Linked DNA regions of Drosophila melanogaster. The protein of the gene in region 2 interacts with the protein of the main gene of each other region in a pairwise test. Each region holds a gene or a part of one and is shown on either strand. Other genes may lie near its edges.

Region 1 (3,344 bases), about 20 Mb from region 2:
TACTGCCAAGCTTTTCGCCTCCGTTGCCATAGCTTTCCGAATGGAAAAGCTTCCGCGAACACGCTCTTCAAGTTCAATGAGACATGGGCGGCGCTTTTTGTAAGGCTTATCAACTTGATCGGGCATATGTATTTTCAAGGCGCGACTTGGACATCCTTATCGCCAGAGCACGGCGTAACTTTCCAGAGAGGTAGGTGTGTCATCGGTCCATCATCGAATCCATCAGGTGATGGCTGAGTGCCGTGGCGTGCGCCATCGCGTGTCCAAGCAACAGTGTTAAATGTTTTTTCTTAATTCCAGCCAAGCACGCCGTATTAAGCTGATCTGTATTATTATGAAACTGAGTGCCTTGTCCGCTCTCTTAATCTTCTGTTGAGTGACTTCTTATCTTTGAGCAACTCTCAACACGTTTTCTCTTCGGTCTTTTGGTCTTATCACCTAGAAGGTTTCCATGGGGGAGCAGACGACGTCTGCCACCCGCAGGTCAAGATGCCCAATTTAAATATAACATTTGGATTTATTGTTGATTCTTATTCGTAACAAATTTCAAGAGCTACAACAACGTGTGTATGGCGATGAGTTTGGTTGGTGATATTTGGGTATGAGTGTAGCGTTATTCAGCTGATAACAAATGCTAACAATTACTCGTTTTAAAGGCTACAGTCAAGATGCTTTAGGGTTAGGATTAGCTGCTGGTTCTAGTGATCCCCACTGCTGCTCAGGAAGGCTTTGTACTGATCCTCGGTCATAAGGGCTTCGAGTTCCTTGGGATTCTTCAGGTCCACCTTGAAAAGCCAGCCTGTAAAAGAAAAGTACGTGTTTCAAGTGAAGTTAAAAAGGGGTCTTCACGCAAATCTTACCCTTCTCATAGCAACTGCTGTTGACTAGGGCCGGTGTGTCCTCCACCTCGGCATTCTTTTCAATTACCTTGCCACTAACGGGTGAATACACCTCGCTAGCCGCTTTAACGCTCTCCAGGGCCCCACATTCGTCATCCTGCTTGAGTTCCGTGCCGGGTTCTGGGAGTTGGGCGAACACCACATCCCCGAGAGCCTCCTGGGCGTAGCTGGAGATGCCTACTATGGCATTGCTGCCGGATACCACCTCCACCCACTCGTGTTTGTTTGTGTATCGGCGTTCTGGCGGGGATTACAGTTTGAGATTCAGTGGCTATTGCATAAACAATTGCCTTACCTTTGGCTAGAAGGCTTGTCAGGTGAATGGCGCGAGCCTGGACGGCGCCAAGGGGCGTGACACTAAGCTGGCGGGCGGCCTGCAGCCCAATCCTTGCGAATTTCGTTATGAATACCATATTTTCCCAGTCAAAAACAAAGGCAACTGCCGGCGAGATGAATTTTCCAACCGTTCCCGGGGGTGTTTCGGTGACAAGTGATCCGATTTGAAAACACACACGCTACGTTTAATGCCCGGCAATCGGGATGAAAGTCGAATATTGCCCGGCTTATCACAATCCAGAATATAATTCGTGAACTTTTGTTGACCCGAGTAAACAGCGGCTTCTTCAAAATGTGCCTAAAAATGGCGTAAGGCATGCATATCGATAGCGATAATAGATTACCGGTTATCGCACTGCCCAACATTTCGGCGGGCAGATTGAAAACTTCAAGATTTATTTAGTTTATTGGTGGACTGTATTTCTTATAATTAAATTTGAGCTTTCGCACTTTCGATTTAATTAGAAAATAGTGCACCACAAAAATACTTCAATTACATAAGTTGTCAAAATGGTTGCTTCTATTTGAAATATTAAAAAATGTAAAGAAATCAAACATACATAATGTATTTTTCAAACAGGTGCTTTACTTTTATCTCTTCTAAATGTTGAGATCAGACTAAAGATTAAAGCAGTCATCTTAATTTCCGACAACACGTCGATGCTCCTCCTGTATTTCTTATCTACTCCCAATTAATCGTTGCTGGGGGCCGATTTATTTCCTTATCAGCTCTACAAAAAAAAAAAAAAAAAACAAATTAGCATATATAAACAAATACCATTCCACTGCGGAACTAGAACGGCTTTATATATTTACAGCTGTACACTTATATCGTTATAAACATGCAAATAAATAAGAATAAAAACGCAGAAGAAGTTGCCCCCCCTGATAAAATTTGAACTAAACTTTAGCTGGGATTATTTGAGAATTATAGTATCGAAGAGGGCTTTTTTGGGGGCGCCAAGGGGCTTAGTAATCTAGTACTGGTTGTGGCGCAGAACGCCATTGGGACTGGGCTGCGGGGAGTAGTCCGGCACGGGGAATCCCGAGGTGGCCACCACAATGGTCTCCATGGGATTCTGCGAAGATTGCTTCAGCGGGCGACTTTGCTGCGGATTCGGAGGCGGGTACTGCTGGTACGCGTTGAGGTCCCTGAAGCGACGATCCATTAGGTTCGAGTCCATCGACAAGTGCGCCGCCCGCACGATGGCTCCCTCGTTCACCTGGATGGTCTCGGCCATGGAACGGGTTTCCGGAACGTAGGCGGCATTGTTATACGCCTGGACCTCCACCCTGTCCATACAAATCGAGAATTATTTTCAAGACATTAAGGATGTGTGAATCGTTATACTTACTCCTCGTAGGCGCGAATCGGGGTCCTGGTGGTCAGAATATCATTGGAATCCTTGCGAGGATTGAACAAAGTATCCTGTGGAAAAGGGCATGTTTGTTTGATTTTAGGCAAGATAGCTATAGCTCATTCAAGATTTTGTAATTAATTTATATTAAGGAAGATATTTGAGGCTTTTTAAGGATACTTTAAGTGTACACTGAGTTAAGAACACCTCAGTTCAAGCGAACTGTCCTTGCAAAGAACCCCCGCACCTAAGGCCCAGTAAGTCGTCATTTTCCAGCGTGCTCGGTCAAACCAAACCGAAAAGCCAAGAGCCCGCTATCAGGCAAACCTGGTGCCAAATTGGAAACCAGCTTATCAGCAATTACCACCACCACATTGAGTTAATGGCGACAAAGTGCTAAGTTTAGCCATGTCGTAGTCGCTGCCCGGCGATTTTTAACTTCTACGTTGTTGGAATATTTTCAAAGGCAGTGTCGAAAATTTATGGAATCAGCGGAGACAACGAAGAAGTCACTCAGCATTGGTGGGCGATGAGCTCACTCGCCGACCTGACCACAACTTACCACATTGTCCTTATCGGTGGAAATTCGAATGGCTCTCGCGACAAGGTATGCGAGCAGTCCAAAGTTAATGAACCACAGAACGAATCCCTTGAAGGAGATGACCATCATGGAAATGGCAGCCACTCCTCCGGCGATCAAGGTGGCAGCCAAGGGATAGATGACACCAGCATTGATACTATTGGCATTATA
Region 2 (6,457 bases):
GCTTCACGATTTCTCGACTCTTTCCTGCGTTCGCACTCGCCGTGTTAACTTACAGACTAAAGCGTTTGAACGCGACTAAAACGAGTTCCTCGCTCGACTCCTCTCCGAGCCACCGATCGGATCGGTCAGCTGGCCCGATCTGCGATCTCTGGTCTCTCGGATCTCTCCCTCTCCGTATAGTATAGTCACTGCAAAGTGACCAAACCGCTAAGCTGCCGCTGCATCCAACGGCGGCTTTTCCTCCTCCTCGATGCTCCCTCCCGCGAAGATTTCTGGCTTTTAATTACAGGTGTGCAATAGATGAAGATGGTCGGATCGGATCGGATCGGCATCAGAGTTCTGCATCGCGAATTGGTTTTGTCGGCTATTTTTAGACCCGCCTCAATTGCAGATGAAACACCTCCGCGGCCTTGACTGGGCAGTTAAGTGCCCTTAATGAAGATGGGCATATACACTTGCAAGCAGATTACTGCGGGTTAGGGTATCTACATCAGATCAATCAGTGAGGGATCAGATCAACTAATCATAAATGGGACTAGAATTATTGTTTTTTTTTTTCTTAATTTTAATTCAATCAAAAGCATACATTTACGTAACTAGTCGAAAAAGTGAGTGTTCGTGCATCTTACTGGACGGGTTAATATGAATGGGTTAGTACCAGAGCCAAATTTCAATAATTGCTGCTGTGAATTTTCAAAGAGTCGCTTCCAAAATGCCAAAGGATGTGTTCCGAAAGGGTAAGCGTCAAGTCCGGTCGATGGGAATGGGATCCGCCTACGGATCTCTTGGTCTACTTCTTCTTCTTGCCCTTGCCCTTCTTGCCCTTGCCCTTCTTGCCCTTCTTCCCCTTCTTGCCACCGGTTAGCATCTCCTCGGAAACATAGGTCTCCGTGGTCACCTTGCTGATCGGAAGGGTTACGGGCTGCTTGGGCGTCCGCAGCTCGATCTCGATGGTATTCTTCTTGTGCTGCGACTTGGCCTTACTTCCCAGTTTTACTAGGAACACGTCGCTGTCGGTCTCCTCGCAGGTCTTGTAGCAAACCTGAAAAATAAGAAAAGCGACAAATCTTTTTAGATACTATGCAACAGCTAACCAAAATAGTCTCAATGCAACGCGTTGCATCTTTCGCAGAAATTACCATAAATAAAAAAGCTGTAGCGGATTGCCACCGCAAACTGAAAAGAGTGCTCCACACTTGGAGCTGGCAGATGTTACGCAACTGCCCCACAATTGAGGCAATCGAAAGCCTTCCCGAAGTGGCAGAAGTGGCATAGTTGCACCACCTGCAACAACGTTTAGGGGGGCAAAGTCACGGACTACCAATCGATCCACATTCCGCATCCGCACACGTAACTGGCGAACTTAAAAAATGGAATGCGGAGGCGATCGGCGATTGTGGTTAATGATTTAAGATCGAACATTCTTGAAATATGGATTTCCTTAGGCCACTCAGTGCTGCGCAAATGAATATAGGATGGACTCACCTCGATACCCTTGCGCCTTGTGTCCAAATTGACACCCTTCATGGTGTCCATGATGTCCTTCCGCTCGACCTGCATGCAACATGATCGCTGGTTCTGGACGGGACAGTGCGCGGGCACGATGGGATCGGATCCGCCGCAGAGTCGCTGGCGGTAGCAGTCGACCTTGGCCTCCTGGAAGTCGCAGGCCTCCTTGATCTTCGAGAAGGGCACGTAGTAGTTGTCGGTCTCGCAGGCATCGTTCCCAGAGTACTTGATATTGGCTCGCACCTTGGGGATGTTCGGGTGGTTGATGATGCGGCCGCCGGTCCGGCGCTTGATGTGGTTGCGAGCGAAGGAGCTGCGCTGGAGCATATCGTGCAGGCAGGACTCCTTTGCGGGCTCGCAGTCATTGGGGTCATCGCGATAGCAGGGATCATCGCCTGCGCCCAGATTGGGCGCAGTCTCGCTGCCATCCATCACGCTCTCCACCTTGTGGGTGTTCTTGAGTACGCGTATGGTCAGACCGCTGCCATTGAGGCAGGCCTCGAACTCGTCGTACGCCTCCGGACCCGGATCCGGCTTGGTCGGCTGGATGAAGCAGGGAGCCAACTCCGGACTGCAGTCGCAATCGCAGGCGCACTGACAGCAGCCATCACAGTCGTCCACATCTGAGGATACCAATTGGAAGGGATGAATCATCCTTAAGCCCGAGCTTCGGTGCAGGGATCCGCGTGTACTTACTCTCGTTCATGGGCTTGAGCATCTCATTGGTGATCTTGAACTTGCAGTCGACCTTTGGCTTCTTGCCCTTCTTGCCCTTTCTTCCCCTCTTCTTGGCCATGTTGTGCGGTTGAGTGATTGAGTGTGTAAGTCAATACAATTATTCACTAGGCTCAAGCTGAAATCTCAATTCCGAAAGCCTTCAATTCTCAATTTGGATATTGTACTTCACCAGTAAGTGGCGCAATTTCCGCACAGCTCGTTTTCGCGCTGAAATGAAAATTGAATTTGGGTTAGTGGATCGCTTCGAAAATTTTTTAACTTGATAGGAAAAAAAATAGTTCGGACGTACTGATTCTCTGTTTTAATTTCCATCCAAAACTCGGGTAACAACAACGAAAGATTTTATTTTTCTGTATTTTGTGCGGCAGACAACATTTCCCGTTCGAATGTATAAAACAAATGCTAAACGAGTGATCTTCTACACCCCGACTACTAGATGTTACTAAATGTTTCGCTGGAGTTACGAGACGTTTGTGTTGTTGTTCATTTCGAAGCCTACTTGGCATTCTCGAAATCCCAGTTGAAATCGTTTTCTAAATACATACATATATGAGCTCACCTTCATCACAGGCCATTTCGTACTCCTCCTCCCGTCCGTTGCACCTGACAGTGGGCTCCTTGTACCGAATTTTCTTGGTCGCCTGGAGGACTCCTGCGCAGACAGGATCGCAGTCTTCGTAGACGGCGGACGGACTATTCTCGTCTCCTACGCGGCAAACAGCACCTCCAGCCTGACGCTTCTTCTTGCCCTTGTCGTCCTTGCCACCCTTTCCATCCTTTGCGTCCTTTCCATCCTTGCCACCCTTTTTGCCATCCTTGTCCTTCTTGGGATCCTTTTCCGGTTTGTTCAAGAGCTCGGCCTGCATCTTCTCCTGGATGAAGCGTGGGTACGGTGGAATTCCGCCGCAGGGACCGCATTTCTGCAGCTTTTGTTCGATCGGCGAGAGATTGCAACGCTTTGTGGGAACAGTGGGGCATTCTGGGAAGAAGTATATACATTACATCATTAAAAGGAAGCATTTATATATGCTGATGATAGATTATAGTCACCTCTATCGAACTCGTCCTCGCAGTAGTCACAGGGACAGAGCTTGTCCAGATTGCACGAGTAGTACCTGAGGCACTTTGCCGGAGGCTCAACTCGCTTGGCACAAGGATCCACCATTGTACAGCGACGACAAGGAGGCTGGGCACACGAGCCCTTGCAGCCCTTCTTATCCATGGGCCCGCCGGTGGCAGTTCCGCCGCCACAGCAGGGACTGCAGGGATCGCACGGATCGCAGGGGTCGCAGGGTGGAGGACATGGTGGGCCACAGCTAGGAGGCGGTGGGCACGAGCCGCAGCTGGGAGGTGGTGGGCAGGGGCCGCAGGGACCACAGGGGCCACAAGGACCGCAGCAGGGCTCCGGGCACTTGGGATTGCGGGAGCAGACCTTGCTGAAGGGGAACGTGGACACAATGGTCGGACCATTGCACACCAATCTAAGGATCAGCACTATGTTGCCAGTCTGCATCTTGCAGAGATTGAAGAGGGGCAGCAGTCGCTTGGACAACTCCGATGTGGGACACCACTGCTCGTGACGTTCGTTCAGCTTCTCGTAGCAGGCACAGTTGTCCAGGAGGCCCTTGCTGGTGGGACCCTTCATCTTGGGCAGCTGGGCGATGTGCCCCAGCATGGCGTCTTCCCAGTCAGGATTCTCGATGTCAAAGGACTCCTTCACCCTGTCGAAGATGGGCTTCACCTTTAGCTCCGACAGTCCTATCAGGAACTTGCAGCTCTCCGTGCGCTTCTTATAGACATGCACCTGCAGCACATCCTTGTCCGTAATGGGGGAGTCCAGAGTGAAGAGGGCGCACTTGCCGCACTTGGGCGAACAGGGGTTAACACACGTGCCCACCTCCCGATCGCAGAGATTCACGTAAACCGACGAGCGGAACGTGATCTCTGTGCAGGTTGGATACTCCTCCGGAGCGCAAAGATTCTGGCGTGTGATCAGCAGATCGTCCACTACGAACTCGAACATGTAGAGGAAGTTTCCTGCAATCTTGGGAGGTTTCTCTGGCTTCTCAGACTTATCGGATTTCTCAGTTTTCTCAGTTTTATCAGACTTGTCCATTTTCAAAGGAAATAATTTTGGCTAGGCTTTTGTTTTGTCGAAACTAGAAATTTATATGCCCGAACACTCGCACTTCCAAAAATTTTGTGAGTAAATTTGAATTTAGATTCTGATTTTGAATGGCCGTCCAGACGGGGAGACTGTGGTGTTCGAACTGCTAAACCGACTGGATTTGCGAGGGCTACTGGAATCGGATGAATTTTGAAAACTTGATTCCTTGATTTTCGATATTAAGATTGTCTTTTAGGCAGATGAGTCTGTCTGTATGTAGATTTTATTACGCCTAAAATGCCTAGTAAGGTCTTATTTCTAACATATATATAAATTTTAATATTAAATTATATTATAATGGACAATAGCCTCCTCAAGTCACTGAAACACCAGAATTGGTATAAAAATTATTCAAATACTTTATTTATAGTTAAGATATGCGAATGATTATCAGTTGCTAGGCGCATCCCTTGTCAAACAATAAAAATGCTTATGGCAACTAAATGAGTACGGAATATAAAGGCTCGCAGCTGCATTTCCTACTCATGTCTTCTTGGCTGGCACGGTCTTGCAAGGATCGCAGGGATCGAATGGCGACGAACAGGGAGCAGGCCAAGTGGGCGGGCAAGGACAGCAACAGTTGCAGGGATCCTTGCACACTGGTCTCTGGACGGGGAAGGAGGATACCACAGAGGGCCCATTGCACACCAGTCTCAGGATCAGCACTATATTGCCCGTCTGCATTTTGCAGAGGTTGAAGAGCGGCAGCATCCGCTTGGTCAGCTCTGAGGTGGGACACCACTGTTCGCGCCGCTCCCTATTCCTCTCGTAGCACACACAGTCATTGGCCTTCTTGCAGGGGCCCCTCAGCTTGGGCATTCGCGACAAATGGGACTCGACGTTACTCTCCCAGTTTATGTTCTGTGAATAGAACTCCTTCTTCACCCTATCGAAGATCGGCTTCATCGGCAGCTCGGTCAGCCCGAGCAGGAACTTGCAGCTCTCCGTGCGCTTCTTGTAAACGTGAATGTGCATCACGTCCTCGTCCGTGATCGGCGATTCCAGCGTGAAGAGGGTGCACTTGCCGCACTTGGGCGAACAGGGGTTGACACAGCTTCCGTTCTCCCGATCGCGGATGTTCAGGAAAACCGAACGGAACGTGATCTCCGTGCAAGTGGGATACTCCTCCGGAGCGCAGAGGTTGGGACGAGTGATCAGCAGATCGTCCACCATGAACTCCAACATATACAGGAAGTTATCAGCAAGATTAGAGCGTTTCTCCGACTTGTCCATTCTCATATAAAAGCTTAAAAACTAGAAATTTGACAAAATTACTATACCAAAGAATTTGTTATGTGTTGAAAACGTTTTTAGAAATTTTCAGTCACTGAAACCTAATTTTGACGAAAAATAAATATGTTGAATTTTGAATTCAGATTTTGACGACGTGCCGAAAAGGAAAGACTGATTTTCGAAATGGATCTATGCGACTGAATGTAAAAGGCCTGCCTACGATTCAAAATATATAAATAAAAAGCTAAGAGCTCTGCATTCCTACTAAAATATCAACAATGACATTCTTTATATGATTAACACCCTCTGGGTAACCTGTACTCTTAACCTTTACTGGCCATCTTTTATGGTTGTCATAAACGCCATATACCCATATCATTAATTACATTTCACCTCCACAAGTAGATAGAAAGACGCCGGTCTGAGGTTTTCTAGCAATGCGTAAAATACTTTATTTAATGTCATTAAATGGTTCTACAAAAGTGATTGATCTACATTGCAGTTAATCGCAGTTAATAAGCGGCGCCTTCACAACTCCACTTCTTCCCGATCGAAACCCCAATCATTCCCCTTTTCCAGCCGCCTGAAGCTCGCCTAAGTGTAAGTGATCTGTGTATATAATGACTAACAAGTTGCAGAAGGGAATGGACTGGGGGGGGCTTTAAGACTAAACAAAAACAGAATAAAACAAAACAGAAATTGAGAGGAAGTCGAATCGATTACAGAATTGGTTTACAATTGTTCTTTCTCGGAGCAATGGGACAGTTTAGCTGCAGAGGTAGTTCCCAGTGACTCTGCTAGACGACACTA

What was found. The genes of interacting proteins can lie anywhere in the genome.
Region 1: the proteins of CG9130 (region 2) and ppl interact in a two-hybrid assay, tested with the Drosophila melanogaster proteins (one large-scale study listed by BioGRID).

The regions. Positions count from the first base shown.
Region 1 is NT_037436.4:21,279,991-21,283,334, forward strand, and holds ppl (pumpless), read right to left. Parts: upstream 1,517-3,344; 5' UTR 1,313-1,516; coding exon 1,195-1,312; intron 1,140-1,194; coding exon 861-1,139; intron 800-860; coding exon 699-799; 3' UTR 501-698; downstream 1-500. Other genes in the region: CG12974 (uncharacterized protein), read right to left, coding at 2,213-2,528, 2,591-2,664, 3,156-3,344. UniProt on the Drosophila melanogaster protein: The glycine cleavage system catalyzes the degradation of glycine. The H protein shuttles the methylamine group of glycine from the P protein to the T protein.
Region 2 is NT_037436.4:1,250,073-1,256,529, reverse strand, and holds CG9130 (uncharacterized protein), read right to left. Parts: upstream 4,519-6,457; 5' UTR 4,364-4,518; coding exon 3,298-4,363; intron 3,227-3,297; coding exon 2,807-3,226; intron 2,678-2,806; exon of another isoform or gene 2,537-2,677; intron 2,455-2,536; coding exon 2,387-2,454; 3' UTR 2,306-2,386; coding exon of another isoform or gene 2,206-2,305; exon of another isoform or gene 2,164-2,205; coding exon of another isoform or gene 1,486-2,163; intron 1,043-1,485; coding exon of another isoform or gene 791-1,042; 3' UTR 544-790; downstream 1-543. Other genes in the region: CG9133 (uncharacterized protein), read right to left, coding at 791-1,042, 1,486-2,132, 2,206-2,305; Bfc (booster for Crq), read right to left, coding at 4,898-5,653.